Macaca mulatta: one gene and its partners. The protein of the gene in region 3 interacts with the protein of the main gene of each other region in a pairwise test. Links are inferred from orthologs where the notes say so. Each region holds a gene or a part of one and is shown on either strand. Other genes may lie near its edges.

The links.
Region 1: the proteins of keratin, type I cuticular Ha1 (region 3) and SMCP interact in binary tests that used the Homo sapiens proteins (3 or more experiments, as listed by UniProt). The two-hybrid records come from large-scale screens. The link is inferred for Macaca mulatta from reciprocal best matches to the Homo sapiens genes KRT31 and SMCP.
Region 2: the proteins of keratin, type I cuticular Ha1 (region 3) and CCNC interact in binary tests that used the Homo sapiens proteins (3 or more experiments, as listed by UniProt). The two-hybrid records come from large-scale screens. The link is inferred for Macaca mulatta from reciprocal best matches to the Homo sapiens genes KRT31 and CCNC.

What each region holds. Positions count from the first base shown.
Region 1 is NC_133406.1:114,157,537-114,168,428, reverse strand, and holds the start of SMCP (sperm mitochondrial-associated cysteine-rich protein), read left to right. Parts: upstream 1-5,420; 5' UTR 5,421-5,548; intron 5,549-10,892. UniProt on the Homo sapiens protein: Involved in sperm motility. Its absence is associated with genetic background dependent male infertility. Infertility may be due to reduced sperm motility in the female reproductive tract and inability to penetrate the oocyte zona pellucida.
Region 2 is NC_133409.1:86,292,995-86,303,972, forward strand, and holds the start of CCNC (cyclin-C), read left to right. Parts: upstream 1-4,916; 5' UTR 4,917-5,049; coding exon 5,050-5,081; intron 5,082-10,619; coding exon 10,620-10,726; intron 10,727-10,978. UniProt on the Homo sapiens protein: Component of the Mediator complex, a coactivator involved in regulated gene transcription of nearly all RNA polymerase II-dependent genes.
Region 3 is NC_133421.1:65,735,499-65,746,413, reverse strand, and holds keratin, type I cuticular Ha1, read left to right. Parts: upstream 1-5,456; 5' UTR 5,457-5,459; coding exon 5,460-5,807; intron 5,808-6,006; coding exon 6,007-6,089; intron 6,090-6,438; coding exon 6,439-6,595; intron 6,596-7,391; coding exon 7,392-7,553; intron 7,554-7,646; coding exon 7,647-7,772; coding exon of another isoform or gene 7,773-7,776; intron 7,777-7,948; coding exon 7,949-8,169; intron 8,170-8,840; coding exon 8,841-8,994; 3' UTR 8,995-9,286; downstream 9,287-10,915.

The DNA of each region.
Region 1 (10,892 bases), on a different chromosome or scaffold from region 3:
CTAGTCAGGTCAGTCTTCATACAATATTGAGAATGTGGCAATTGCCCACATTGAACACAAAGGTGCCTCGGCAGAGACACAATCTCTGATTTTAAATCCTTACCCTGAAGGGTCGGCTCCTGGGAAAACAAGTGTTCCTCAGGCCTAAGGCCCATGGAAAGGGACCGCGACAGATGTGGGAAGCAAGGCAGCACTTCTGGAAGCATCGGAGATGAATCCTATTCACTTCAGTGGGCAAAAGCCAAGCAGATGCAGGGACAACCAGACCATAAATGGAAGGAGGGTCTGAGTCTGACAAAGAGACAGCGTGCACCCCTTTGTTCACTAAAACCTGACCAAGAGAAAGCTCAACTTCAGAGCCTTTCTGCTTTCATTGCCAGAGATAGCTCTAACTCTGCCAGTCTTGCCCTTGCTAATTCAGTTCCTAGAGGTCTGTGGTGGAGAAGTTGTGCAGAGGGTTGTCATTCTATTTCCTGGTTTAGGTGGGTGTCACACAGATGTTTTACTTTGTTTAAATGCATTGGTTGAAATGCATTGGGCTGTATTCTCAATGCATGTATATTACAGTTCAACAAAACCACATTAAAATAATACACATGAATGAATAAATATAAAAATATCCAGGACAATTCTTAAAAATAAAATTAATGTGTAGGAGCTAGTTCTACTAGATTTACAATATATTCTAAAGCTATTATAGTTAAACAGTTTGTTCTGGACCATGAATATACAGACAGATCAATAGAGCATGATAACAAGTTCAGAGCTGGGAAAAAATATGCAGAAGAAGCTAATATATGATAAGCACACCCTCAAATCTGTGAAAAATCATCAATTAATCAATAAATAATGTTGCTACAACTGGGAAGCCATTAATTTAAAGAAAGAGTTCTTAAAGGGTTAAAACATTAAAAGTTAACTCTTAAGAAAATCTGGGAGTATTCCTCTACACTTTCAAAATGGGGATCAGTTTTATAATACAACAAACAAGAACTATAAAATAAAAAATTTTTAAATGTGTTTACATAATTAACATTTTCTATATGGTTGAAATATAATAAAGTCAAAGGTCAAAAAACACAGCGGAAGAAATTTAGTTTCTCATAGCACAAAAATAACTTAATTTCTCCAATATCGTATAAGTGCTACAAATCAGTAATAAAATCATCAAGAATACGGTTAAGTATTAGGTAAGTTATAACATCAGGCAGTTCCCAGAAAATGGATGTTGTAGTTTATTAATGTAATAAAATATAGTTCTGCTTAGTTACTAAGAGAAATTCAAAACTACTTTGCGATCCCGTTTTTAACCTACCAGATGGGCCAAGAACAATTAATTTAAAAATACATCATTTTGATGAATTTATGGGGGAAAATTGCAGTCTTATACATTGTAGGGAGTGAAATAAATCAGTGAAACTCATATGGAAGAAACTGGAAATACTGATCAAATTACAAAAGTAGCCTCTGAGTCAGCAATTGCACTTAAATAAATATATTCTATCTCCTCCTGAGGAATGATGTATAAATAATGTGTTCACTGCAGCATTGTTTGCAAGGGCCAAAATTGGGAACTTCTGTATATACATAGGTTATTATCCAGACTGGGAAACAAAGGGAGAAACTCTTAATGTACTGAAATGGAATGATCTCCAACAGATGCTATTGTAAAAAAAGCAATGAGCAAAACGATGTGGAGTTACTCTTATTTCGTTAAAAGAAGAAAAAATATACATGTTTGTTTGGGGTTTTTGTGCATAAAATATCCCTGAAAGGATATTTCAGAAATTGATCTCTGTTAACTGAAATATCTGAGTCGCATGTGGGGGATTTCACTGTGTATCCTTTGTAACTTCTGATTTTAGGCCCAAGTAAATGTGTAATAATGATCAGTATTAATAATATTAAAGGAGAAGGGCCAGGCACCGTGGTGCATGCCTGTAATCCCAGCACTTTGGAAGGCCTAGGCAGGAGGATCTCCTGAGCTCAGAAGTTCAAGACCAGCCTGGGTAACGTGACAAAACCCCGTCTCTACAAAAGATACAAAAATTAGCCAGGTGTAGTGGCATGCGCCTATAGTCCCAGCTACTTGGGAGACTGAGGTGGAAGGATCACTTGAGCCCAGGAGGTCGAGGCTGCAGTGAGGCAAGATCACACCACTACACTACAGCCTAGGCAACAGGATAAGACCCTGTCTCAAAAAAAAAAAAAGTTAAAAAAAAATCACATTAAAGGAGACCTACAGGAAGCAGAGCCTCAAATGCTAGAACCCAGGAAGACAGCACCATAAAGACTCACTCCATTACTGGAGCTAATTACATCATTACATCAGCAAATTCCTGCAAACCGGCCTCGACTTTTCTCACCATCAATTAACATAGCCCATGCAGCAAAGAAAGATGGTCATAGTCTTCCCCACTTTTGATAACAGAGGCAGAAAAACCTAAGGAGGTAGGAGTGGGGCTGCCACAGGACACATTCTGCTAGTTTGAATGATGCATTGAAAACAGCCTTAGGAAATGGGTTCCCCAATTTGGACAAACAGTTAGAAGTTATTGGCAGACAAACTGATTAGAAAAAAAAGACCAACAATCACCATTCATGCATTCAACTAATATTTTTTGAGTATTTACTATGTGTTAAGAACTGTTCTGTCTGAGAGCCTGAGATATATCAGTAAGCAGCATTTGCCTTTTTGGCAATGACATTCTAATGAGAGAAGACAATACATAAAACTACAATAAATAAAAATTAGCTTATTTTAGTGCTATGAGATACTGGTCTTTATATTATATGTCTATTATATTATATTTGAAAAGTACCACCAGAGGAAAACAAAACAGGACTGTGTAAAGATATCCATGTGAGAATATTAAATAAGCAGTTGGATACGAAAGTCTGAAGTTCTGGAGAGATGTCTGAGCTGTTATTAACAAAGTAGACATCATCATCACTGACATATAGATGGCCTTTATGGTCAGGAGACTGAATGCTCCAACCAAGAAAATAAGTGTTGGTGGAGAAGGAAAGAGAGCCGAGGACTCCAGCAGGAAGTAGTCAGGCAGAAGAACAGGAACACACAGAGTTCCAAGTTAATGTACTAGTTAAATTATTCTTCCATGCGTTTATTGACTAAATGTGGATTTAGTACCTACGATGTTCCATACAGTGTGTTGGAACTAGAACTTAAATGGTGAGCAGAAAGTATACCTATCCTCACCTCCTAGATAGCCTTCATTAGCTTAATTTTAATTAACTAACACGCGTCATGGTTAAAATTCAAATAGTTTATGTGTATGTGATCCTTCTAGGAAAATGTGTATGTGATTCTTCTAGGAAAATGTGTATGTGATTCTTCTAGGAAAATGTATATGTGATTCTTCTAGGAAAATATTATGTATACTAACATATACTAACATATATATTTATCTTATATATATAAGATATATATATCTTTATATATACATTATTTTTTATAAGACAAGGGATACACTAACATTGTTTACTGGATTGTTTTCTTTGATTACATGGTTGGGAGAATTTTTCATAGCATCATCTACAAGCGGACTCTATGCTTTTATTAGCTATATACTATCCTATTACATGATTGTAAAATGAAATCTCATTAACGGAATATGAAAATACTGGTTTCTCAACATATTCATTAATGATTAATGTGATCAAAATTTCATGTTTGTTACTGGACTGTCATGGAAAAGCCAGTGTCTCATTGATCTTCTGGTTTGCATTCCTTTAGTTATGAATAAGCATTTCTTAATAGGTTTGTTGGCCATTTCCACCTCTCTGTCTCTCTCACTCTACCCCTCTCTCCCTCTCTGTACTCTTCCTAGAAATAACTTAATTCTTATAGATTAAGGCTTTGGTCCCAACTACAATGTTAGACACTTGGGGAGATGTGAATGAGAGCAGACATTTTACTGAGAATAAATTTTGGAAATAACTATAAGCATGAAGACCTGAAGAAGGCAAGTGAAAGAGAAGTACTTGAATAGTATATTATAGAATGAAAAGCACAATTCAATTCATATACTTCCCAGGAGTGCTACCCTTTGGCCGAGGTAGTTCTGTCCTGGACTTCACACTTTAAAAGAGTCCTTCTCTGGTTCTCTTCCAGCCATGACCCTGGCCATAGGATAATTTGATATTTCAGTGTATAGGCCCAGAGCTGCTGTCTCCCTCATACCCACTATCCAGGATCCCATAAATCTCTGTCAAATGGCCCTGAGATCATCTTTATGTGTCCATCCTCCTGAAGACTCAAACAACCAACACTGTGCTCACTTCTAGGTCTCAATAACCAAGAGGGGGCAGTTTGAGAGATCCGTGTGTGAAAAGAACATGGATGGTATGGGCTAGGATACTTACACTCATGCACACCCAAGGTCCCTCATGGCACAGGATGAAGCCAGGGAGTAGGAAGAGAACAAGGGGTGAACCACAGGGGTCAGAAGCCTCTGTTTAGGCTCTTGCCTGGTGTCCTACAAGTGTTTATGGCAGGCATGCTTCCCAGGAGAAGAGAATTTCCTAGTCACTGTCCTTAAATGTCCTTAAATGTCCATGCTAGAGGAATAAAGGAAAAGAACAAACATAATGAAATGCTTCTCTCTTCTCACCATGTTAGTCAATTCACTATTGAATTGATTCAGTTTCGGAATCTTTTATGTGCCAATTGCTCAGCCAGACACTGGGAATATCAAAGTGAATAAAATAGGGTCCTTGCCCCTAAGGCATCCCAGTTTCTCCCCTGTTTAAAACCTTTCGGTGCTTCCCATTGTCCTCAGGATAAAGTCCAAACTATTTTCTTTATGGCATAAAGAGTCCTCACCAACACAGCCTTACCTACCTAGGTAGGTGAGTCTCCCCCTTCTCCTTACTCCCCACTCTGCTCCAGCCGCACTGAGCTTTTCCACCAAATAGCTTATACTTTCACATTTCTGGATCTGAAAATGTCTCCCAGACACCCCCTTCCTATTTCCAATTTCCAAGTCTCAGCTTAAATATCACTCCCTCCAGGAAGCATATCTGACCCCCAAACCTGACCCCTGTGCTTATCCTACCATCATTATTATTACATGGTATTATTGGCTATTGACTTGCCTCCATATTGAATTGGTTCTTTGAGAATGGAAACTACATTCCATTGAGCTACACTTCACTTTTTAGGACACAGCCTGGTAGATAGGAGACACTCAATACAGATTTGTGTTTTAGGTCATTGCATGCTTATGGGTTAGCTAGGGAACTTTGTATCTTTCAGGAAAGAAACCGAGAAGAGTCAGACTCTCCAGCAGGCAGAGGGCGCTAGTGAGTGAGCTAGGCATAGAGTCCTGGGGAGAGGATTATGATGTCATAGAGGCTTAGAATCTTGGTATTAGCAGGGGAGGGAACCAATCTGGTTCAGAAGACTTTGGCTTCTGATAGTCATGGACTCACTAGGCTGCTGAGGAAGATCAATAATATCTACTGGAATCAGTCATCAGAAGTCAAGCATGGAAATTGTGAATTGAGAAGTGTGTGGCCAGACCAGGTAACACAGAAACCTTATCTTTTGGGCCCTCTCTGCATGGCTTTTTAATGTGTTCATTCATTATATATTTACTTACTGAGGCCCATGCAATGCCATTCAGTGTGCTGGATGAGAGGATTCCAGGATTCATCCTATATTTCAGGAAAAGGCTCCTGCTTCCATTTAAGAGGAAGCCACTGCATCCTGGCCAACACGGTGAAACCCCATCTCTCCTAAAAATACAAAAAAAAAGTAGTTGGGCATGGTGGCAGGCACCTGTAGTCCCAGATACTCAGGAGGCTGAGGCAGGAGAATAGTGTGAACCCTGGAGGCAGAGCTCATCACAGTGAGTGGAGATCGAGCCACTACACTCCAGCCTGGGCAACAGAGCGAAACTCCATCTCAAAAAAAAAAAAAAAATAGGAAGTCACTGGAGCCTCTGGGGGTGGGGATAGTGAGGATATCTGTGCTCATGGAGCTAACGGACCACAGAAGTCAGACAATTAGGGAAATAATAACCACTATAAAAATGTAATGAGAAGTACAGGGGATCCAAGAAAGCCTATCAGGGAGACAGAGGCTATGGGTTAAGGAAGTTTTCCTTGAGGAGTGATGTGTAAGCAGAGACTTCAGGTTTGAACGATTCAGTGAGCATGTGGGGACAGAGACCCAGGAAGGGTGGTTCAAGCTGGGGAAGAACACATTCAAAAACCCGGAAAGAGGTGAGAAAATTCAGCAGGTGTCTGCTCTGAGCCAGTCTGGTGCCTGAGAGAACAGTGGGTGGACATGAGACTGGGCCGGTGGGCAGACGTCAGACAGAAGGCACCTTGCCAGGGCCCTCCTGGTGGTTTGGGCTCTGTATTAATCCTCACTGAATAGAGCAATAAGAAAAGCTAGGAAGATGGCCCTGGCCCTGGGCCACAGGTGTTTGATGTGATCAGGCAGATTTCCTGAGGCAGGCTATGCAGAGCTTGGTTGGGAAGGAGGGGAAACGGAGCATGGAGAGAATATTTATATATTTATTTATTTTAATTTTTATTTATTTACTTATTGAGATGGAATCTCATTCTGTCTCCCAGGCTGGAGTGCAGTGGTGCAGTCTCGACTCACTGCAACCTCCGCCTGCCAGATTCAAGCGATTCTCTTGCCTCAGCCTCCCAAGTAGCTAGTATTACAGGTGCATGCCACCATGCCGAGCTAATTTTTGTAGTTTTAGTAGAGATGGAGTTTCACCATGTTGGCCAGGCTGATCTCAAACTCCTGACCTCAAGAGATTCACCTGCTTTGGCCTCCCAAAGTGCTGGGACTACAGGTGTGAGCCACTGAGCCTGGCCAAGGAGAGAATCTTAAGAAGAAACTCTTGCAGGAGGCAGAGTGGTCAGGAGGCACATTTATTGTACAGGAGCTAGCGTTCTGAAAGTGGAGGAAATAGATAATATTCACTAGGCAGAAGGAAGACAGTGGAGACAGCATTGGCTCAGAGGGGCAGGACCTGCATCCATGGGGGTGAAGCTGCAGAAGGACTTGATGTTGCCCTCCTTATGCTATAGTCAACAAGACTGGTTTCTAACCTGCTCTCCTTCTCTGATATGGCACAACCTCCATATTCAGGACCTGTTCCCAGGACCTGACTATGGGGGACATGCTTGGAGTGGAGATGTTGGTGGGACTAGTGAGGCAAGCCCCTGGACCCGGGCTCCAGGTGCCCTCTGATGCCTCTGCATCTCTGGTCACCGGAATGAGAATTGCTTCTGTAGAAACAGCTCAGCCTGGACTTGTAAGGATGGACCCTAACAAACTGGACTTCCACGTGGTGATGAGACTCTGCACTTTGGTCAGTTCAGGGCACTGACCTTCAGAATAGAGAAAGGTAAACCGGAGACAAAAGACAGAAATATAGAGACAGGATGAAGACCAGAGAATGATAGAAAGGCAGAGAGAAAAAATAGTAAAAGGCAAAAATAAACACAGAGAGAAACAACAGAAAATAAAAACAGAAGAGGCTCACTCCTTCCTCATCCCTCTCAAAACCTAGTCTTAGGTCTGACCCCTAAGGGAGCAGATTCAAACAACAAGGAGACAGGGACAAATACTGGGCTCCCTGCATACACCCACACACTCAAACTCACCCCTGTACAGCTGCAGGGGCAACCAGGTGTATGCTTGTGTGCGCATGTGGACACACACACTTCCTGTCAAACAGCTATGAACACTACAAAGGTGGTAGAGAACATGGCCCTGTACTCTTTCACCTCTTCCCTGTTTTTATGCTGGTCTGTCTGTGTCTTATTTCCATTTTTGGTGTACCTCTCCATTGCTCACCTCTCTCCTTCCCGTTCCCTCTCAGGCAAGTCAAGGCATTGCAGGGCCTGCATCTGCCACCTCAGCCTCTTTGCAGCTTCCTCTGACCTAGAAGGAGCAACGGGGTGACTTGTCCCCACGCCCATCCTTTAGGAGTCTTGCTCCAGTGTCTTTCTCTTAAATGGAAGCAGGAGCCTTTTCCATGAAAGATAGGATGAATCCTAGAATAAGTGGCAGGGATAGAATTGTGACTAAATTAAAGTCAACATCCTAATCCAAGTCACTCTTCCTTTTTTAGGTGGGAACTGCCCTTGACCCAGTTCAGGCTGCAACCGTATAGCCAGAGACTTAGGATCATGAAGGGTTTAGACCAGGTGGCAGGGCCTTAAGAGATAACTCTTCCTTCTCAATTGTCTCTCACCCTAATGCTATAGTTCAGAATATTCAAACATAGGGGTCCTTATAGGAGGTAGCACTGTGCTCCCCTTCTTGCCAGAGAAAGTCTTGGGCTTTCTCTGTAAGAAGGAGGGCCCTGGCATATGTCCAAGCCTTCTCACGCACATGCCAGGGACCTCCTTCCCACAGAGAAACCCTGAGATGAGGCTCCAGTGGTTCAGAAAGTGAAAGTGAAGAGAGGCCGGCTGGGGCTGCGTCCAACATGTGAGTCTGAAAGTTACTGTTACTAGTGGGTGGAGGTGTCGACCACACCTGGCTCAATGGGACCCAGTTTTTACACTACGAACTGGATTTAGGTGAATCCCCAGATAAAAAAGGGTTGAGTCTAAGAGCATGTCACCCATCATTCAGGACAGCCACAGCCCTGGGTCTTCTATAAGTCACAGGGGTGATTCAGATAGCAAAGTAGGTCATCTGACAGGCATCCGTTAGCAACCACCTGACTGGAGAATCATGCACACCTTCAGGAAAGGATGATATAGATTTTTGTCCTACTGGGGTGGATTAGTCCTTCTCCACACTGCTCTAAAGATACTACCCAAGACTGGATCATTTATAAAGGAAAGAAGTTTAATCGACTCACAGTTCCACATGTCTGAGGAGGCCTCAGGAAACTTACAATCATGGCAGAAGGCAAAGGGGAAGGACCTTCTTCACTTGGTGGTGGGAGACAGAAGTAAGAGCAGGGGAAATGTCAGAACTTATAAAACCATCAGATCTTGTGAGAACTCACTATCATGAGAACAGCATGGGGGAAACTGCCACAGTGGTTCAATCACCTCCCTCCCTCAACATGTGGGGATTATAGGTCCCTCGCTCCACATGTCGGGATTACAATTCAAGATGAGATTTGGGCAGGGACACAGACCCAAACCATATCATTATCATGGGGTAACCCCCAGAAATAATTCATTTTTCTATTTTAATTTATTTTATTTTATTTTATTTCATTTCATTTCATTTTTTGAGATGGAGCTTCACTTTTGTTGCCAAGGTTGGAGTGCAATGGCACGATCTCGGCTCACTGTAACCTCCGCCTCCTGGGTTGAAGTGATTCTCCTGCCTCAGCCTCCCGCGTAGCTGGGATTACACGCACCTGCCACGACGCCCAGCTAGTTTTTGTATTTTTCGTAGAGATGGGGTTTCACCAAGTTGGCCAGGCTGGTCTCGAACTCCTGACCTCAGGTGATCCACCCGCCTTGGCCTCCCAAAGTGCTAGGATTACAGGCATGAGCCACCATGCCCAGTCCTCCCCCGGAAAGACTTTAGTGTCAGGAGAGATTTGTAGCTACTGTTCCCAGGAGTCCCTCTATCTACAGAACACAAAAGAAGAGGACAAGACAAGAGATGTGGCTTTCTAAACATCAGGGAGAGGGTTTGAGCAGGACTTGGGGGAAGTATCTTGACAGCAGGTACGGATCAGATGGAGGGCAAGTAGGGAGTGTCCAGCAGGAGAGAGACGGCTAGGACGGAGGCTGGCCCCTGCTAGGAGCTATTCACACTGGCTCTAACTGTTAAGACTCATGAGAAAGTTCAAGTAATATCAATTTGATCCAACTAAACAGCCATCATCACAAACCTCAAGTTCTCCTCACCATGTACTTATGATTATGCATGGACACATGCCTACATGCATTCACGTGTGTGCACACAAACACACAAACACACACACACACACACACACATTCTCACAGAGATATGGGCAAGTGTGTGCTTAGTGGAAGCCCACAGCAGTAACTGGTTCAGTTTAAAAAACTAGTTTGGGGCCCGGTGCAGTGGCTCACGCCTGTAATCCCAGCACTTTGGGAGTCTGAGGTGGTCGGATCACCTGAAGTCAGGAGTTTGAGACCAGCCTGGCTAACACGGACAAATCCCATCTCTACTAAAAATACAAAAATTTGCTGGGCATGATGGCCGGTGCCTGTAATCCCCGGTACTCCAGAGGCTGAGGCAGGAGAATCACTTGAACCCGGGAGGCAGAGGTTGCAGTGAGCCAAGATCTCGCCCTTGCACTCCAGCCTGGGCGACAAGAGTGAAGCTCCATGTCCAGTAATGGTACTTCCCTCCAAAGAAAAAAGAAAGAAAGAAAAAAAAATTAGTTTGGACAAGAGGCTTTTCTCACAATCCCGAGGATGCCAGAGGCCAGAAGGTGGTTGCAACTTCACTTCAGCAATTGTCAATCCAAATCCCACACCCATCCCCCACACCGGTGACAGGGCTCTGACAGGCCTGGTGCCTCACCCACATGGGTTTGTGGCTTTGTGAGCTGAGTCCCCAGAGGGGGTATAGGCTCATTTCCCATGCTTCCACATTTCCCTGAGGAGGCTAGATAACAACCTGCTCACTGCCTACTGTTTCCTGGCCACTTCTAGACCCTCTATTCTGCTCTGGGGCCACAACAGTGGTGTTCATCCTCTCATCATGTGCCATTGGAGGGACAAGGCAGAAACCACATAGGGGCTTCCCCAGGGGCTGCATACTGGGGCCAAGGCCCAGGGACCTTCTTGGGAGAACTTGGATTTCCTGGGTGGAGGAAGGTAGATAGATAGAAGTAAAGCAAGAGTTGTTTGGATTTTCTCTATACCTAGAAGAATGAGGAAATTACAAA
Region 2 (10,978 bases), on a different chromosome or scaffold from region 3:
ATTTTAGAGAGTCTCTCTCTGTTATCTAGGTTGACAATTATAAATTACCCAGTCTGCTATTCTCTTACAGCACAAAACAAAGACGCTTTCCCGTAATTTAGAAGTGTATTAATCTTCAACAAATACAGGTATACCAGAACTAAAATAAAGGGAGGTACAGGGGATGACTACATAAAGAAGAGGATGTTTTTCACAATAAGGACTAGTAATAACAAAGCAAAGTAATTATGATAATAATTTAATTAAAAAATGAGATTATCTCCAATAATTCTGTTCAAGAAGAAAAACTTGTACTACAAACTTAGAATAATGTGCTTATAGCAGTTTAGTCATAGTAGTTTTGTTGAAGCTGTCTAGTTGGGTAAAAAAGTTATTGCACTGTGAATCAGAAGAATCGGATTCCAGGTATTCTTGCCTCTATTTAACTAAGTGAGGTTAATAAAGCCACTAACCTTCTAGCTCCTAGTTTACCACAAATAGTATTCATGAAAGCACTGTAAGAAGAAAAAGATAAATGCTTTCTTGTCACAAGAGAGTGAACACTAGCATCAAGAACTTATTGACGTTTTAAAATATTAAAAGAGTATAATTGGATTGTTTGTAACACAAAGGATAAATGCTTGAGATGTGGATACCCATTTACCCTGATGTGATTATCACTTATTGCATGCCTGTGTCAAAATAGCTCATGTATCCCATAAATATATACATCTACTATGTATCCACAAAAATGAAAAATAAAAATTTTTTAAAAAGAATTTATTGAACACATCCCTGTTTGAAAAGCACAAGGTAAGTTGAAAATTGGAAGGGACAACATTAATTTATTTCATCAAGTTTAAATTAGTGGGTAGTGAGGCCTGAAAAACAATACTCATAAAATTATAAAGAAAAGTTTAAAAAATGATCAGTGAAAAAAGGCAAATCTACTAGATAGCTCATGATCTTTTTGCATCCAGGTAAGCTGGGATATCTACGCATTTTAACAGCTTTTATAAATTTCTCTATTCCACTAGAGATATCCTTAAATGAAGTTAGCTTTTGAATCAAGTCAATTTAATTCAACCTACATTTATAGAATGCCCTCAAAAGCAATTTACTCTGAAACTAAGGAAGCCTAAGCTCTAGGCCTTTGACTTGCACAGCCCCCATGAACACTGGGAGCTGCAGGGCATTTGGCGGAAGCAGAAACCAAGTCACAAACAGGAAGAGGTTCTATGTAGCACTTATTGTAAATTGCCTAAAAGAGTTCACAGAAGGAAAGGACCTGAATTTCCACAGCTGTGGTAAGTTGTTGTGGCTCTTTTTGCATTCTAAATGTAGTACTCACTTTTCAGCATAATTTTGTATCCATAATATTATATCAAAGCACATCCCCCAAATTCTGCAAGAGATTTAAACACCAGTATTTGCTATGCCTACTATGCATTATACCCTGAACTAATGGAAATACAAAGATGAAGGATCTCACTGTTTTGTAGGAAGAAGAGTGCAGAATTAGGTATAAAACAAAATTGCAGGTGGCCTATAATCCCAGCACTTTGGGAGGCTGAAGTGGGTGGATTATCTGAGGTGAGGAGTTCGAGACAAGCCTGACCAACATGGTGAAACCCCTTCTCTACTAAAAATACAAAAACAAACAAACAAAAAAATTAGCCAGGCATGGTGGCAGGCATCTGTAATCCCAGCTACTTGGGAGGCTAAGGCAAGAGAATCACCTGAAGCCATTGCACTCCAACCTGGGTGACAAAAAAAAAAAAAAAAGTGCTAGTCCAGTAACAGTAACAAAGTGTAGTGTAATAGGATTGCTTATAATAAAACATTAGTAATACTAATTCGTTGCAGTATCCTTAACTTCTGGATGCCAGGCTGACAAAAACAAACAAACAAAACAAACCCTGAGAGAGTTGAAGAAATCCTGAATCTGTGAAATAGCCCACGGCTTGGAGTTTCTTAAGGTAGTGCCTTTTAAATATTTTTTATTGTGATCTGCCGTGTAACAGACAGTAGTGTTCATCAAGTATACTACACACTCCTCTGCATTTCTCAGCTTTCTTTTTTTTGAGACAGTCTCACTCCGACACCCAGGCTGGAGTGCAGTGGCATGATCTCAGCTCACTGCAACCTCCACCTCCCAGGTTCAAGCGATTCCCCTGCCTCAGCCTCCCAAGTAGCTGGGATTACAGGCATGCGCCACCATGCCCAGCTAATTTTTGTATTTTAGTGGAGACGGGGTTTCACCATGTTGACTAAGATGGTCTGATCTCCTGACCTCGTGATCCGCCTGTCTCAGCCTCCCAAAGTGCTGAGAGTACAGGCGTGAGCCACCGTGCCTGGCCTCAGCTTTCTTCACAGTTAAAAACTGGAGGCATGTGTCTATTCTGGCACATGAGAGAAGGTGATTGGGTTGTTTCTGTTTTAAGGCTCTTAACACTGGGTAAGAGCTAGTAAAATGAGTCCTCTGTGCTCTCTCTAGAAAGATTTTAAGCCTAGAAGTAAGATGGAGTAATTGAAAGATGTATAAATATTAGATTCTTGCAGATCTGGAAGACAACCATCAAGGAGAGCAAGCTGACTTTATGGGACTTTATGGGAGTGACCTATGACATGTAAAATACTTTCATGGTAAGCTATGCTGATTAGGGGTGGGGGTGGGGAGGTGTTACCACAATTTCACCTAGTGTAGCTTATCCAGACTAATTCATTCTTTTTTCTTTTTCTTTTTTGATTTGGAGTCTCACTCTGTGTTGCCCAGGCTGGAGTTCAGTGGCACAATCTCTGCCCACCGCAACCTCTGCCTCCTGGGTTCAAACGATTCTTGTGCTGCAGTCTCCTAAGTAGCTGGGACTATGGGCAGGTGCCACCACACCCAGCTAATTTTTGTATTTTTGGTAGAGACCGGGTTTCACTATGTTGGCCAGGCTGGTCTCGAACTCCTGACCTCAAGTGATCTGCCCACTTCGGCATCCCAAAGTGCTGGGATTACAGGCGTGAGCCACCACACCTGGCACAGACTAATTCTCACGTACAAATAAATGCATTTCACATCTTGACTGTGTGTGTATATAATATAAACAAAATTTAATATAATATCCTTGCTATTTCTGATTTACCTAGTATTTTCTGTTCTATTTAGGAACATGATTATACTTAATTTTACCACACCCTAATTGGTCTCCATCCACAATGTTAAAAATACTATCTTAAGTTGCCTCAGATGCTGATCGTCTATAAACAAGTTTCTGGCGTGTCCAATTATTTAGAAAAATAATTACAAGTTTTACAACAAATGCATTGTTACAATGAAATTGAAATGGAAAATACAAAACATTTCATCTTGTAAAATTAAATTATGGTTCTTGCAGTATGTTTCTATTTGGTGCAAACATATACATACATGTGCATACATATGTGCATGAATGTTTTTAGGTGTTTTACAAAACCGGTGATTTCGCTGCTCTGTAAGTTTGCACTTTTCTATCACTCCAAAAGAACTCCATTAAGATCGCGGCCTGGCGCGGTTGCCCACGCCTGTAATCCCAGCACTTTGGGAGGCAGAGGTGGGCGGATGACGAGGTCAGGAGATCCAGACCATCCTGACCAACATGGTGAAACCCCGCCTCTACTAAAAATACAAAAATTAGCTGGGCGTGGTGGTGCGCGACTGTAGTCCCAGCTACTTGGGAGGCTGAGGCAGGAGAATCTCTTGAACCTGGGAGGCAGAGGTTGCAGTAAGCCTAGATAGCGCCACCGCACTCCAGCCTGGGTGACAGAGCAAGAGTCTGTCTCAAAAAAAAAAAAAAAGAAAAGAAAAAAGAAAAAAAAAGAAAGAAAAAAAAAAAAGAAAGAAATCGCTTGATCCAGGCCGGGCCTGGTAGCTCACACGCCTGTTAATTCCAGCATTTTGGGAGGCTGAGACGAATGGATCACCTGAGGTCAGGAGTTCCAGACCAGCCTGGCGAAATCCCCTCTCCACTAAAAATACAAAGATTAGATGGACGTGGTGGCACGCGCCTGTAATCCCCGTAATCCCAGCTACCGGGGAGGCTGAGGCAGCAGAATCACTTGAACTCGAAAGGTAGAGGTTGCTGTGAGCCAAGATTGTGCCACTGCACTCCATCCTGGGTGACAGACCCAGACTCTGTCTCAAAAGTAAAAAATAGGCCGTGCGCGGTAGCTCACGCCTGTAATCCCAGCACTTTGGGAGGTCGAGGCGGGCGGATCACGAGGTCAGGAGTTTGAGACTATCCTGGCCAACATGGTGAAACCCTATCTCTACTAAAAATACAAAAATTAGCCGGGCGTGGTGGTGCGTGCCTGTAGTCCCAGCTACTCGGGAAGGAGGCTGAGGCAGGAGAATCGCTCGAACTCCTGGAGGCGGAGCTTGCAGTGAGCCGGGATCGCGCCACTGCACTCCAGCCTGGACGACAGAGCAAGGTAAAAAAAACAAAAAACAAAAACAACAACAAAAAAAACTTGATCCGTGAGAACAAAGTCATCTTCATTTATTTCTCTTTCCAATCACAGGTAAAATAAGTCACAAAATCTTTTATTTTATTACAATGCCATTGTTCTGTTTTTGAAGTCCTGGAAGAGGTAATAACAGAACCCCGGAACTCAGCCACTTCGCCCAGGTTAGACCCCTACTCAGCAACTCCAGTGCTGAGGACAGGAGACCGAGCGCCGTGGGCCCCCGGCCAGAACAGGCAAGACGCTCTCGCGAGAGTCTTCCAACCGCCGTGAGCTCTCGTGAGCACTAGTTCTCTTCTATCTCAGCGCCCCCACAGGTCAGCACCTCCCCGCCGGCTCCCTCCGCTACCGCGGGCCGGAACTTTTGTCGATAGGAACGGGTTTGCACAGTTGAGTGTTGTCGGCCGGCGTGAAGGAGACTAGGGGGCCATCCTCTTCCTTTCGCCGTCGCCGCCGCGGAGCGGAGTCGAGCCGAGCTGATTTGATCGAGGAGCGCGGTTACCGGACGGGCTGGGTCTATGGTCGCTCCGCGGGCCGCTCCGCCGGCTGGTGCTTTTTTATCAGGGCAAGCTGTGTTCCATGGCAGGGAACTTTTGGCAGAGCTCCCACTAGTAAGTGATCTTACGTCTTCTCACCTGGGGCCGGTTTTTGGGGGGCTGTGAGGAAGGGGCCTGCGACTCCCTTGGGCCTGGATCCCGGCTCAGTTCCGAGTGCCGGGGTCCTCAAGGGAGACGGCAGCGGCCAGAAGCAAGATGCTCTTTTCTGAGGCGACTCCCCTCCCCGCCCCCAGCCCGTTTCGGGGAGGGAAGGATCTGTGAGGGGGAGGGGTGGGAGAGAGTTTAGTCTCCCAGGAAGAAACGTTTCAGAGTTTAATTTCGGATTTTTAGTTTAACTAGGCCGCAGGGGGTCGGATAGAGTGGGCACAGGTACGGGAAGTGTGACTCAGCTCAAGACTGTGAGGCTACCTGTTCAGGACAGTTGTGGCGTGCTTTTGCTTGGGATTTCTTCGGGTGATTGGCGTCGTGGTCTTTTGTCATTCACTGTATATCTTGAGTGGATTTAATATTCTGAGGAGAGGAGAAAGTCTGGCTTGTTTCTGCCTACTAACCTCTTCTTGCCAGTACTTTATGTCTAGATGGAGTTTTATATTGATAAGGTATAGGGCAGGTGCCCTGTAAACTTATCCATTTCATTAGCCTGTGCCTTATATTTTGTTTTAAAGGCGTATTTTTCCAGTGATTTTGTTTCTCTATTTCTTTAACCTTTTTCATGAATAAGTTCTTGTTTCTGTCAGTGACTATGTGAGAGCTAGAATAATATTAAAAACATTTATCTCTAAATACATTTGTTTAAGCAGGCAGGAAGGTGCGTGATGGGGTTAATTGAACATTGAGTAGGCTTTCCACTGTATAGTTGAAAGATGAACAGAACTTGACAAAGAAGGTATCTTAGTATAATTTTTTATGCTAAGAAAGCATTAGTAAGTAATTTAAATTTCGATTCTGTGAATAGGATCTGTTCCTGATGTTCATTTTTTAGCCCTTTGCAAGGAGAAAAAAGAAACAATGAACTCGGTAACCTATTTAAGGAAAAGCAGGTTTTCCTCTTGCTATAAAGTGATTCTGTGGAGATGACATGTTAAAGAGGCAGGCAACTGATCATATGTGTATGTGTGTGTATATATATGTGTGTGTGTGTATTATATATATGTTGCATTGTTTTCACACACTGAAATATTGCTTGGGCAGAATTAAAGTATCGAAAGTTTAGGTATTGGAGTTAGAGCTCCTGAAAAAAAAATTTAGGTAGTGGAGAAGAGAGATTCTGATAAACTTTGAAAGAAGCCGAGAGAATTGACAAGTAGCTGACTGGTGATTTGTCAGTTTTTCAACTTAAAAAAAAGCTCCTACCTTTTTTCAATGGTGTTCTCATTATGCTTTCATTTATTCATAGCGTTATAAAAACATTTTTTCACTTTTCAAATATAAAATTATTACAAAGTTAAGTGTACTTCTTTGAAACTATTCTCCCAATTCAAATACTCCTAAAAGAAGGGATCACTTTGCCTTGCTCAGATCCCTTGAGCAGTCATAGAGTTTCTTATCTGGAAAAGGTAACAAGTATGGAAGACAAGACAATTCTGGAAAAACAAACAAAAGATTTTGAAAGGCCATTGTTTTAGCTGAATTTGGTGAAAGAGGGCAATTGACATTAAATATGCTATATTTCATGCTTCTAAGATGCATATTTTCACACTTTAACATCTTTGAAATGAGCATGGCAGTTTCTTTCATAGCATATGAAATAATGATGAATCCAAGATGTAATCTTAAATTTGATGAAATGCAGTATTTATAAATTTTTTTAGTTTATCCTGCATACACAGCTCTGAGGAAAATTCATAAAATGTTTGTGAAATTTATGAAATTTATCTTTTTAAAAACATAAAATGACTCTGTGGGGATGAAATTAATTAGCAAACCACAATGTAGTTGAAGTAGAACAAAACACAGTCTGTGACCAAAATGAACTAGAAGGGGACTAAGTATTTGCTGGGTTGATTGAATGCATTAATGAAGGAGTAACAAAAATAGAAACTACAAAACTAACTGTGGATACTTTATTGTGTGAAAAAGGAAACTGAAAATACAGTTACTTAATATCTATAAAATAACATCATAATATTACCATATATGGAATGTAACCAAAGCTTGAATGTATTAGAAAATCAATATCCTGAATAATTGAGAGATAATAGAAATATTCTATTTAATAATACTAAGAAGGAAACATGAAATAAGCCTAAAGAAACAGGAAGAAGATCTTAAAATAGATAACGCTGATGCTAATATATTAAAAGGAAAAAAATTATAAAAGATCATTCTTAGAGTAAACAAAAACAGTAGACGAAACTACTGCTAGTTAAATCAGGGGAGAAAGGAATGATACAAAAATACAAAATTAGGAATGAGAAAAGTAAACCCAAGGGTACTTTTGGGTTATCTCCAGGGTTTTAAATTTGAAAGCCAAAGCAAGTTAAGAGTATTACCCAAGAACTATGCCTTATTTCATGGGTAAATACATCTTTCAAGAGAATCTCCTTTTGAAATTGTTCCATTTCATACAGAAAGAAGAAAAGCTTTCCTTTACAAAGCCATGATAACACTTACAGAAAAATCTAGTAAAGGGAACACTAAAAACAGTCTCACTTTTGAATACTGATGCAAACATTGTAAATGAATTATTACCAAATACAGTCTAACATTACATTGAAAGTATAAAACGTGACAGTGGATTTTATTATAGAAATATAGTCAATGAAGCAGTAAAGGTATTAAAAAACTAATGCAATTCAACATTTATCCTTGACTAAAGCTCTTACTAAAACAGAAACAGGATGCTTCCTTAACATGAAAAACATATCAAAGCATCAGCAGTGGTAAAACATTGGGATAATTAGGGTGCCTATTTAAGATTTTACCAGTATACTAGTGAATACAATTGATACAAAGGAGATATAGAAAGAATGACAAAACAATGACAAAATTATCAATACGTGGAAATAAAATTAATGAGAAAACTCAGTTAATTGAGAAGTTATTAGAAATAATAAAGGTTTAATAAGGTGACCAGTTATAAAATACAAAAATAAAAGCTTTTTAAAAATGGATAGAGAAGTATAATTTACATTAGCAACAGAAAATATAAAATACAGAGGGAAAAATATAAAGAAATATACAGAACCTGTAGGAAGAAAACTTTAAAAGTCCATAGTGGCACATACAGATTTTAATAAAGTTTGAATTCTTGGTAAGATGTCATTTCTCCCTATATTGATCTTTAAATGTAATGCAATCACAAAATTTGAATGGATATTCTTTTTTAGGACTTGACATAATGCTTCTTAAGTTTGGGTCTTAGAATAATAATTGTGATAAAATGTCAGAAATTTTCAGGAGAATAGTAGCAAGGAAGTATTTTTCATACCAGATATTCATTACTTAATTTTCTGTGTTTTAAAATAGCACAGCATATGAACAAGAAAAAAAATAGGAAATTATAAAGAAGATCCAAGTATAGTGATAGAATTATAAATCAGAAGATAACTTAGCGCATTTGGATAAGCATTTGACAAAATATTTAGCTGGATCCCAACTTTATACTTTGTACCAAAATAAATTCCAGATGGATCATAAATTGAAGGAAAAAAGCCCTTAAGGGTATTAGAAAATATGGGTGAATTGTTTATCATTTTGAATCAGGAAAGACCTTGCTATGCCTGACAAACATGAAAGTAAAAGATAGATTTAAGTAAGTGATTCAGATTTCTGTATTACAAATAATTAAATACTGAGAGATATTTAAACTTGGGAGAAATTTTGCACTTATTTGTCAAACAAGTGATTTATTATTCATACTGTACAAATTTTAGATGAGAAGAATCTCTTAATCATTAAAAAAATCGGTAATACCATTAGAAAAATGGTCATATTAGAATTAACATTGTACAAAAGAAGAACTGTATATGACCAATAAAGACATAGAAAGATGTTTAACCTCAAAAGTAAACTACAGGGAAAAGAAACAGTGACGTACTACTTTGCCTTTAAGTTGCAAAATATTTAAAAGTGGCAGTAACCCATAGGATTAATTTTTTTTTTTTTTTTTTTTTTTTTGAGACAGAGTCTCTGTCCACCAGGCTGGAGTGCAGTGGTATGATCTCAACTCACTGTAGCTTCCACCTCCCGGGTTCAAGCAATTCTCCTGTCTCAGCCTCCCAAGTAGCTGGGACTACAGGCACACGCCACCACGTCCAGCTAATTTTTGTAATGTTAGTAGAGACAGAGTTTCACCATATCGGTCAGGCTGGTCTCAAACTCCTGACCTCAGGTGATCGGCCCACCTCGGCCTCCCAGAGTGCTGGAATCCCAGAGTGCTGGAATTATGAGCCACCATGCCCGGCCAGGATTAAATATTGTACAATTCACTCATGAACTGTTAATACAAATGGAAATTGGTATAATGTTTTTGGAGGGTAAACTGACAATGTGTATCAATAAATTACCAGCAACACTAATCCTACTTCTGGGAAGTTATTTCAAATATATTATTAATCAAATATGCAAGGAGAATTACAAAGATATTCATTAAGAAGCATATCATTCAGGAAATAGTAGCAAGGCAGTATTTTTTTATACCAGCTATTAATTACTTAATTTTCTGTGTTTTAAAATAGCACAGCATATGAACAAGAAAAAATAGGAAATTATAAAGAAGATCCAAGTATAATGATAGAATTATAAATCAGGAAATACCTCAGCGCATTTGGATAAGCATTTGACAAAATTTTAGCTGGATCCCTACTTTGTACCAAAATAAATTCCAGATGGATCATAAATTGAAGGAAAAAAGCCCTTAAGGGTATTAGAAAATATGGGTGAAAAATGATAACCTATATTTGCATCAGTAGAGATTGGCTAAATAATGATCCATCCATAAAGCTGTATGAAAGACTGCTGAACAACAAGTTAATTGACATAAGACTTGGAATACATATTGAATGACAAACACAGCTTCAAGATCGTTTTTTCTTTGAGTCATGTCAATTTCATATCTCTGGTTAAAAATAGCACACTTGACTAGGCAAGAGGAGGAGGCTATCAGTGTAACACATTCTGAGGCAGTTTTTAATATAATTAGATTTGTGAAGTAAGGAAATTAAATGCCATAGTTACCCATGAACAGCTGAAAAACTATATACTTCCTCAAATCTAAGCGACCATCAATTGGTGCCAAATAATTCCACCGTTATCTTATATCACTAAGAAAGAATAAACATGCTGCCAATTATAACACGAAGGCATCACAGATTGTAAGACATATCTTGATATCAGAGTCAGAATCAGTGAAATACAAGCTGGTAACAGACTAAGGAGGAAGAAGGAAAAGATTAGAGCAGAATTTTTTTCAGGACATATTTACATTTATTAGTGAGATAATTATTAGTCACATTTCAAGAAATGTGAGAAATAATTGTCTTTAAGGTTATGTTTTGCTCTTTGTACTTCTCAGAATATGAACAATGTGTTCAATCTTAGAGTGTTTTCCCTGACCTTGCTTGTTGATTTTCTGTAACATGTCTTTTCTAGTTTGCAATGGATTTTGGATAAACAAGATCTGTTGAAGGAGCGCCAAAAGGATTTAAAGTTTCTCTCAGAGGAAGAATATTGGAAGTTACAAATATTTTTTACAAATGGTAAACTTTTTAAAAAGTTGTTTGAGATTGTATAGTTGGTTACCTCTGAATTAAAATGTTTTTGTGTGGTAATTTGTAAACTGTTTTAGTGCATACCTAACATTTTTATTTATACAGGTGTTCTTTTTACAACGTATTCATTTCTGTTTCTTTTTAGTGATCCAAATAAAGTTTTTTGTGTGAATTTTACATATTACAGGCACTTAAGACAATTTAGAAGTGTTACCTAATCTCCCTAAGGCTTTGTAATAA
Region 3 (10,915 bases):
AAGTACTTTGTGTTGTATCCAAATGGAGGCCCCAAACAACCCTGAGAGAGGGGAACAGGCATCACAATCCCCCTTGTGCAGAGGGAGAAGTACAGTTGTAGGGAGGTGAAATGACCCCTCTGCACCTCACGGCAGGTGAGGGGCAGCTCCATGCACCCAACCCCAAGTCTTCTCATTTCTGTTCCCCTGCTCTTTCCCTGTTCCCAACTGTGAGGGCCTTGCTGGAGGTACATGTGGATAAAACTTCACATTCACGCCACTCTGAAATCCTGGATGGATTTTACGGGAAAGGCATCCTAGGGTCTGGGATCTCGCTAGGGGTGATCTTCTCAGTGCTGTCCCCCATTAGCATTTTAGACTCAGCTTCTGACCTTTCGCCATCGCCTGGAAGCTCCCCTGTTTGATGCTGGTTATTGCATCCAAATGTCCCTTTCCCTTCTTCCTCCCTAGTTCTTGGACATCCTATACAACCTGCCTCAGTGATTCACATTGGTCTCCAAGGCCCTCTGCCCTCAGGAGGTCTCTCTGGTCTCAAGGGGGCACAACTGTGTCCACTCACCAGCAGGACTGCGTCCTCCCTCTGTTTCCCTCTACCAGCCTTATTCCCCTTTCTATTTCCTCTGTCAATTTACTTGATTTACTGTGGTTACTTTTCTTTTTCTGCCCCACACCACATCCCTGGAATGATTTCTTATACTGCACCTGGCAAAAAGCATGTTTCATTTGCTTTGAAACTTACCTTGACTCCCATGGATCCTGTGGGGATGCCACAGGGCTGAAGAGATGGGCCATCACCACTGCCTCTCCTGTGGTCTGCAAAGCAACAAGAACCAGATGCCGAAACAATTCATTACCCTGCCTGGCTGAAGACTAGATTATTAAAGGGAACAAGATTCTAATGAGAACAGTTCTCTGAATCCTGCTTGAGTCACTTAGAGAGCGAAGCACAAACAACTCTTTGGGATACAAGTGCATAACCTGAAATAGCTTCATCTCCTCGCCATGTGGCTGAAAATCATGAGCTGGATTGGAATGCCCTAAATGGGGTTTGGGTCAGGGTGGGTGTAGGAAGAAATGGAGTGGGTAGGGGAAGGAGATATTTTTGGGTGAAGGCTCAATCACATTACATTATGTTAGCTGTGGACCTGTCTGCTTAGCAGGACTCAGAGTTCCCGGGTGGTGGGGACATGACATGCCCCCACTCCCCACAATGTCCCCCGCCCCTGGGACTGTAGATGTGCAGATGCACACAGTAGATGTTCAACAAGTGACTAATGCCCATAATGTCACACGTACATTTTTCTTTTTATTTATTTTTAATTTTTAGATGGGGTCTTGCTGTTGCCCAAGTTGGAGTGCCGTGGCATGATCTTGGCTCACTGTAACCTCAAATTCATGGGCTCAAGCAATCCTCCTGCCTCAGCCTCCAGAACATCTCGGACTAAAGTGTGCTCCACCAAGCCTGGCTCGTTTTTAAATTTTATTTTATTTTAATTTTTTTTAGATGGAGTTTCGCTCTTGTTGCCCAGGCTGGAGAGCAATGTTACGATCTCTGCTCACCGCAACCTCCGCCTCTTGGGTTCAAGCGATTTTCCTGCCTCAGCCTCCCAAGTGGCTGGGATTACAGGCATGTGCCACCACGCCCGGCTAATTTTGAAACTCATTTTTAATATTTTTTTGTAGACATGGGGTCTCGTTAAGTTGCCCAGGCTAGTCTTGAACTCATGGGCTCAAGTGATCCTCCCACCTCAGCCTCCCAAAGTGCTGAGATTACAGATGCAAGCCACTGTGCCCAGTACCCATTTTCTATTTACATTGAATACAAACATATTTCCAAATGTCCATCTTACACCTTCTAAATATCTCATCTCCTTAACTTCTGGCTATTTCTCATACATATTGGGGACCCATCTTGGCCTGAATTGTTCATAAAAAACATTTTTTTCACCAGAACTACGATTCTTTTGTTTTAGTTTAGTCTTATGCTCAGCATAGAGAAGCTGTGTAATAAATGTGTTCTGAATTAAATTGAACTAAATAATGAATGTGGGTTTGATAGCCCACTGACTGCTCAATTTCTCCTTGAATGAAAAAAATTTGCAACTATTCCAACTAGGAAACTAAGAGAATACATGAATTCTATCCCTTGCCTGTGTGAGGTCATGGGGACCTTACAACCCTGGGGTCCCATTTTCCCCACTAATTCAAGGAGCAAATTCACTCAAGCCCACTGAGATCTTAGAAACACTGCAAGAAAGAAGCTAGATTTACAAGAGATGGCAGCATTGTGTTTACTCACCAGCCAGTCTCTCTGTGGTCCCCATCCTGAATTCTTGTGCCACTTCACATTCTGCAGGGCAACCAGCAGGGAGAAAAAGGAGTCTCTAGGAGTAACCAGAAGATAACAGGGGTCGCTTGTTCTCTCCTGCATCTTCTATGTGGCTGTTGACGGGCCATGACCTGCAGCCAGTGCAGGACTGACTCTCCCTGCTTCATTTCTCCTTTCTTCTCTTCCCACTCCTTATTCCTTCAGGAACAGGCAGTGTTGCTCCTTTTAGACCTTACACTGCCTGGGTGTAGATGGCAGTATATTTCTCAGCCACAAACAAATCTTAAGCTGGATCACAGAGGTGATGCTTTGGTCTGGACACCTTGGAACAATGTCACTTCTTTCAGAGGCCTCAGAAGCTGCAGTCCCGTGTCCATAGATCTTTTGAGTCAACTCGATTTATGCCTTGCAGGACACTCAGCATGGTGGGCCACTCCTCAGTCTATTGGCTTATTTTGCCTTGGCTTCTTCTCAGCTTTGCATTCTCCAGGTTAGCCCCTTGGAAGCTGGGCTAACTTTGTCTGATTTGTTGCATGATTCTGAAGATTCTTCCCTCCTAACTTTCTTCCTTGTCTCTTCTTTTTCTTGTTATCTCTCCTCGTCTCCATCTCTTTCCATTTTTCTGATCTCTCTGCATTGTACAAAAATTCTATGTTTGCTTTCTTGTCAATCCATTCCTTGAATCTTCTCATACTTAGAGCCTAAACACTCTTCTTTGACTACAGTCTCCATGAGGCTATGCCGGCCAGTCAGTAGATAGGACCCAAGAGCTTGGAGAAAACTGCTGGCATTTAGTCTGGGCTTAGGTTAAAGCCTCCCTGGCTGGGGAAGAAGAAAGGGTTGAGGAAACAGCTGCTTGCTGGAAAGCCAGTGCTTGGAGCAGGCTGACAAGAGTTAGGAAGCAGAAGGCCTGTGCTGTCATCTATAAGCTAGTGCTCATCAATCAGATGCATGAGCCTTTCCATTCACCCCAAGCCCAGATGAAATGAGACAGAAGCTCCCCACAGACAGCTGCCGCCTAGCCTTGCGTCCTTCCTCTGGAAAGTCTCAAGGGTAACAGCCTGTAGACCCGCCTATTTCTCCACGTTTAATTGTCTTGCAAGGAAACAAAGAAGTATAGATTTTATTATAAGTCTAGATCTTCCTTGTAGTGCTGTGGGTCTTTTCATCTGAATGGCATTATAATAAGCAGTGATAATGGTCTTGGGGAGTGTAGATGAAGGACCTTTTATCTGAGACCCAAGCAGAGTGTGACATGAATACCATCATGAAAGCTCAATGGGAGAAGCACTCCAATAAGTTGTCAATAAAACGGCAGCTCTGGCTGGCAGCCAAAGCCACAGTGGAGATGGGGGTGCTGCCTCCAGAGATGCAGGTGGTACCTGACGGTGCCTATAATTATGCAACTTTTATATATTCAGAGCTTTGGCTACCTCTTCCTCAGATCTTCTAGTGCCTTCCTTCACCTCCCAAAGCAACCCCAAGTGACTCCAGCTTGCCTTGCAAAACCCCCTTGCTCATGCCGTGCTCAGCATTTTCTTTCCCGGTGCACAGGTCCTTGGATTTAATTATACAACCACAGAGACCTCCTTTGGTACCTTTAGACCTTTGGTTCTTAAAGCAGGGGGCATCTACAGTAGGGCTGGAGATGGGAAGCCCAGGACAGAATATAGCCCATCTTCCTGGTGTATCCTTTTCTCTTAGTGAATTGGGCAAAACATTTGAAAGTTTAACTGGAAATTTAAAAGGGGCTTTTAGAAAACATTAAAGCCAACATGGATATATTATGGAATATAGGGTCAATTCACATGAAGTTTAAAGATCAAATACATGTGATTTCATGCCTGTGGAGGCCCCTTTGGGCTATCTCCTGACTTTCCTAACATATCCATCTACTCTGTTTGGATACTATGGACACCCGAAGAAATGTTTGACAAACACCTCCTTATTCCTTTCTCTCTCCTTATTCCTTTCTCTCTGCCCCTAAATATCTTTTCTAGGTCATTTAAATGCCTTTTTCTGTTTGTTTGTTTTTTGAGACAGAGTCTCGCTCTGTCACCCAGGCTGGAGTGCAGTGGCGGGATCCTAGCTCACAGCAAGCTCCGCCTCCCGGGTTCTCACCATTCTCCTGCCTCAGCCTCCCGAGTAGCTGGGACTACAGGTGCCCGCCACCACACCCAGCTAATTTTTTTTTGTATTTTTAGTAGAGATGGGTTTCACTATGTTGGCCAGGATGGTCTCAATCTCTTGACCTCGTGACCCGCCTGCCTCGGCCTCCCAAGGTACTGGGATTACAGGCATGAGCCACCACGTCCGGCCTTAAGTGTGTTTTTTATGGCTCTCTCAGTTTGCACTTTTCAGCCTTCTTTCAAAATGATCTCTTACCCTAGAAACTTCTCTGTTCTCAAACTAGTTATCAAAGCCTCTACCTTTAAAATTCTCTCCTCTACAATTTTCTTAAGTAATATGCAGTGTTGGCGGGGAAGTATTACACGGACCCGTAAAACACAAATTGCTGTCTAATATTTTCATCCCTGTCCTCCATTGATTCTAGTCATCCACCTTAAGGCTTCCAAGGCATGGAATGCTCCATCATTTGAAGATTCTTCTTTAAATGAAGAGGGAAACACAGTCCACTGTGGCCTCTTAATGCAACTTCTTCCTCAAACCAATCCGTGTTTCTCCCTAGAAATGGCAGGTGGACCAGGACATGAGTATGTTTATGGGCCTGCAGGATTATGTGACACAAAAGAATGTCATTGGATGGATCAACACCTCAATTAATGAGGGCAGATACTTGGGCTGGACTGTGTAGCCTCTTTGAAGGCCTACCACAGAACTCTGATTTCATGGGTGGACTGTCTGCGGAGGAGTCCTGACTTAGCAAGAAGCCCAAGTAAAGAATTTTATGGGACAAGGGACTCTTCTGAGGAAGGCAAATAACAGACTGAAGGAAAGGGCGTTTGAAAAGAAGTGAAGAAATAAAAAGAAAAAAGACATTACATACTGTGTCCACACCCTCTGCAGTGGGATATAAATGCTCCCTAGAGGAAGGAGACCCACAGCTCTGTGGCTTGGAGAATTTAGACTCTGTCTTCAGCCAGGCACTCACTCCCTCCCTCCCAGCACCATGCCCTACAACTTCTGCCTGCCCAGCCTGAGCTGCCGCACCAGCTGCTCCTCCCGGCCCTGCGTGCCCCCCAGCTGCCACGGCTGCACCCTACCCGGGGCCTGCAACATCCCTGCCAATGTGAGCAACTGCAACTGGTTCTGCGAGGGCTCCTTCAATGGCAGCGAGAAGGAGACCATGCAGTTCCTGAACGACCGTCTGGCCAGCTACCTGGAGAAGGTGCGTCAGCTGGAGCGGGACAACGCGGAGCTGGAGAGCCTCATCCGGGAGCGGTCCCAGCAGCAGGAGCCCTTGCTGTGCCCCAGCTACCAGTCCTACTTCAAGACCATCGAGGAGCTTCAGCAGAAGGTGAGGGGCATTGCTGTCATCTCCAAGCAAGAGAGTTTGCAGTGATTCTGTCTGTGATAGAGAAGTGTGTTTCTTGCTTCTGTGCTGTCATAATTCTTGCTTCCTCTTTTATTTCAAAATGTCTTTTTAAGTCATTTTTAAAAAGTTGATGATGTCATATTTATTTTCAGTCCTCACTAAGCCACCTCTCACTCCCCAGATCCTGTGTACCAAGTCCGAGAATGCCAGGCTTGTGGTGCAGATCGACAACGCCAAGCTAGCTGCGGATGATTTCAGAACCAAGTGAGTTGTTCGGAATTTGCACTAGTGTCCATTTCTTCTGTTTAATCTTTAGTTACAGAAAAGGGATTTCCATGGCTGTACTGAAAAACAGATCTACCCACTTGCTGTGAAGGATTCTGCAGAGGATTGGGGAGAACCAAGCAAAGAAATCACAAAAATAGATGAGGACTGACATCAATCTGTTTGTTTTGGGATGAATATTGGGTATTGATGGAGCCTCCAGAAACCTCTGTCTCCTGGGCCTATTCATTACAGAAAGTGGAAAGATAAGGCACATGAGGTTATCAAAAATCATTCCTGTGAGTGTTGAAGATCTACCAAGTAGTGCTCTGACCCGCTCCTTGTGCAGGTACCAGACTGAGCTGTCCCTGCGGCAGCTGGTGGAGTCGGACATCAACGGTCTGCGTAGGATCCTGGATGAGCTGACCCTGTGCAAGTCCGACCTGGAGGCCCAGGTGGAGTCCCTGAAGGAGGAGCTGCTGTGCCTCAAGAGCAATCACGAGCAGGTGAGACTAGAAATGAGAAATGCACAAACCTGTCTCAGCCTCTGACTCAGGGTAGCTTTAGTGATTAGGGGCAGCAGAATGCAGAGTATGAGTACAAGGCTGAGGGTTTCCTTTAAAAACATCACGGCAAGAGAAAAATTGGAGAGAGATAAGACCTGTTCATGTTCCCAGACAGGAAACATCTTTCACTTTAAACTAGCACATTCTTTGAGTTGCCCAGAGCAGCTCCATGTGCTTGAAATTGGTCAATAGTTATAGAATGAGTCCTAGCATTGCAGTGTTACTGCTTTGCAAAGTCTTTTTTTTTTGCCAAAGACCAAGAAAAAAAATCAAACCTTATAAATGTGAGTCTCTACTCTTTCAAAGTATTGGCGAATAGTGTTTGTGAGCTTCTTCCTCTCTCTCCTGGGAGGGGCCATGATATGCTCTTATCTCTTACTTGACAACAAGAGTTTTTTGATATACGGTCTGAAATTGCACAGCCAATTTTATTTTTTTTTTGTATGCTGAGGTCCTCACAGCCAGTTGTAAACTGGGAAAGTTGAACCTCAATTAGTCCATCCTTCAGTGGCATCCAAGCAAACTTTTGGGATTTTTTTCTGAAGCCAAGTGCCATGGCACAGCAGATGGTGGGGAGGGGGCTATGCCACATGGAGTGCCTTGAGCTGTCACAGACTGCTCCACTCAAAGTTTCTGTTCTGAGAGAACAGACCAACAGGGCTTCAACAAGCAATGCCATTCCTTAGAGTCCATTCTTTGCTGAGCATAGTAACTCTTGTATTTTCTGCATCCATAGGAGGTCAACACCCTGCGCTGCCAGCTTGGAGACCGTCTCAACGTGGAGGTAGATGCTGCCCCCACTGTGGACCTGAACCGGGTGCTAAATGAGACCAGGAGTCAGTATGAGGCCCTGGTGGAAACCAACCGCAGGGAAGTGGAGCAATGGTTCACCACGCAGGTGGGCATCTAAGCACGTGGCCACTCAGGACCCAAGGCCCACCCTATGGCCCCAGAGGCAGGGTCTGATCCTTTCTCCCCTTGGGTGTTTCAGACCGAGGAGCTGAACAAGCAGGTGGTATCCAGCTCGGAGCAGCTGCAGTCCTACCAGGCAGAGATCATCGAGCTGAGACGAACGGTCAATGCCCTGGAGATTGAGCTGCAGGCCCAGCATAACCTGGTGTGTATTGTTCTGACCTGCTGGTGAGCAATGGGAAATTGGGAGGCAGAGTCCTGGGGATGCCCTTGGGGCCACACACTCTCCTTAGCTCTTGGAGCTTGTGACTTCCTTGGAATCCTATGAAGAAACCCTTTGAAGGAGCAGCTCTCTGACATTCTGGATCTTCCCCACCACAGCGAGACTCTCTTGAAAACACACTGACGGAGAGCGAGGCCCGCTACAGCTCCCAGCTGTCCCAGGTGCAGAGCCTGATCACCAATGTGGAGTCGCAGCTGGCGGAGATCCGCTGTGACCTGGAGCGGCAGAACCAGGAGTACCAGGTGCTGCTGGATGTGCGTGCCCGGCTAGAGTGTGAGATCAACACGTACCGGAGCCTCCTGGAGAGCGAGGACTGCAAGTGAGTACATGGGCAGATGTATTTGATGAAGCGGTGCACGTGTGAGTGTAATACTCAGACACAATGCAAAGATTGCATACCTTGGAAAGGAAATTATGCCTTCACACTAGACATGCTCAAACAGAACTCAGACAATATAATATGGCCATCATTTAAAACATAAATGGTTTGGTAGCAAGAGTTGTTTGATGTACAAACTGAAATTGCACTGCCAAGTCTTTGCATTCTACTGTGATAATATGCATGACTGCATGATATGTGATCAATGCCTTACTTTTTACAATACCGTATTGTCTAGTGGGTACATTTCCATAGACTACCTGATTTGATCTTATAATTACCACCAGGTGGGCTGGATCAGTATTTCCTCCAATCTATAGGAAAGTAAACTGGGGCTTGGAGAAGGTAAATGACTCAACCCCATGTCATCAGTTTGGCATGAACGGATTTGAGAGTAGACATCAGAGTTTCAGAGTTTCTGTCTACCTTGGTGCTCTATGGCAGGGAGACCATGAACAATGTGAGCTATCTTTGTAGCAGGGGAGCCTGTGCCTTCTCTGTTCTAGGCTAGGCCAAGTCCTGACAGGCATTCTTACCCTTGGGGATATCTCTGGCATATGATTTTAAAATTTTCCTTAACTCACCTTTCCACATCATTCTTTTGTCTCCAGTCTGCCCAGCAATCCCTGTGCCACGACCAACGCGTGCAGCAAGTCCATCGGACCCTGTGTCTCCAATCCCTGCACACCTTGCGTTCCTCCTGCCCCCTGCACACCCTGTGCCCCACGCCCCCGCTGTGGGCCCTGCAATTCCTTCGTGCGCTAGAACCTAGGAAATGCCGGAGGAGCAAGGATGCAGGGCCCAGGACTGCAGAGCTGTGACCTGGCTCTGGTTTAACAAAAGGGGCCTGAAAACATCATTTGCATGGCTGGAGTGGCCCCCGTAAGGCAGCCAAGAAACTTACCCAAAGCCTGCAGCCTCCCCAACTACTCTAGACTGTCCTGCTCACCCTTTCCTTCCTGGGGGTCTGTTCCTTCCTATGCTCACCCAGAGAACTCTCTGATGTCCCCGTGGCCCTCCCTTTTAACCTCCTAATAAATATCATTTCCTTGGCAAAGCAGATGCCTTTTTCATTTGTATTCATTTGTTTCAACGTGCTCATCACCTGAGTAAGCTGTAAAAAGCCACTTGAAAGACAGGCCATATAATGGCCTGACTCTTGGATCCCAGAGCAGTTTCATGCCTCGGGGGCAGATGGCGAATCTGGTGCCCTGGACCCAGGAGCGAGGCAGGCAGGCCTGTGGGAAGGAGGGTGGAGGGGCTGAGTGCTGCAGTCCCTATCTCCCCCTGGTCGTTCTTGGATTTTTCCTTCTGACTTGGACATCTCCCAGAGCTGCTTGTATCCAAATCTGAATGGAGGAGGCATGAGCTGTGGGCTGGAAAGAAGCTCTGGAAAACTCATCTTCTTCCAGTGGGAGTTTCGGGTTCAGTGCTGTATTATTCTGGGTTATTGGTGGTCCAGGAATTTCCCAGTGAAGAGACCCTCTGACCTGCCCTCCTGTGCCCAAGAATTCCTCCTTTCCCTTGTGTGGGTCAATCATTATCAGCCTGGGCTTCCAGCTCCTCTCTTCCCTCCTCGACTCCAGGTCTTAGAGACCCCATCAACTCTTTATTTGATCCTTTGGCCTTTCTCAATTCAATCCAACCAGTATCTGTTGAATAGCTACTCTGTGCAGACGCTGGGTGGTGGATTGGGGAGAGACACATGAAGAAAGACGCAGTTCCTGACCGCAACTTATTTATAATTTTTTAAAAGGGATAAAACTAGTCCCCGAGTGGTGCTATTGTAAGGCCCAGTTCCCTGGCACTGTGAACAGCTGGTGGGTGCTACAAGGAACTCTGAGTACTGAAAGGGACAATGCTGGCGCCCGATGGCATCAGTGTATATCAAGAAAGGGCATCTTTCTTTGACTCTCATGAAGACCCATGAAAGTGCTTAACTATAGACTTCCTGAAACCTCAGAGGGCCATTATGATCTGAAGGGATCAGAGGTCTCTGACTTTTCCCAGCACACCAGGCTTTCCTAGCAGGAATCAGACTCCACTTGGGTGAAACATAGTCCTGTGTCCTAAAATGATCAAGTGAATTGAAATTGTATATATATTTGATAAAGCAATGATTCTCTCCACCATAATTTCTCCCTTGATTCTTCTTTTTAAAACTCAAGTTCCAGGATGGATTTGGATTCGTGCTTTGCTGCGTGGCTTGTGAGAAGCCTCTGACCTGGAATTCTGTCTCTACTATGATTCACCCAGTGTCTGTGATTTCCTCCAAACCCAAGGTCAAGCTCAGTCCAGACGGTCTCTCTCATGTTGCTTGTTTCCTTTTTCCACATCCTGCTTAAGTATATTATTTTACAATAATACAAAAGTACTGCTAATAGCTCCTGTGGTAGACAGAATAATTGTCCCCTCCATCTCTCACCAAAATGTTCATGTTCTAATTCCTGAAACCTGGGAATATGTTAGATTACCTATAAAAGGAAATCGAAGTTGCAGAGGGAATTAAAAGTTGCTAATCAACTGACTTTATGATAGGGAGATTATCTCGGATTATCAGGTGGACTCAGGGCTCTTAAAAGTGGAAGAGGGAGGCAGAAGAGAGTGAGAGGGAGAGGAAACTATGGACATAGGTCAGAGTGACGCGATGTGAGAAGAACTTGCCTTGTCCTTGCGATTTGAAGAT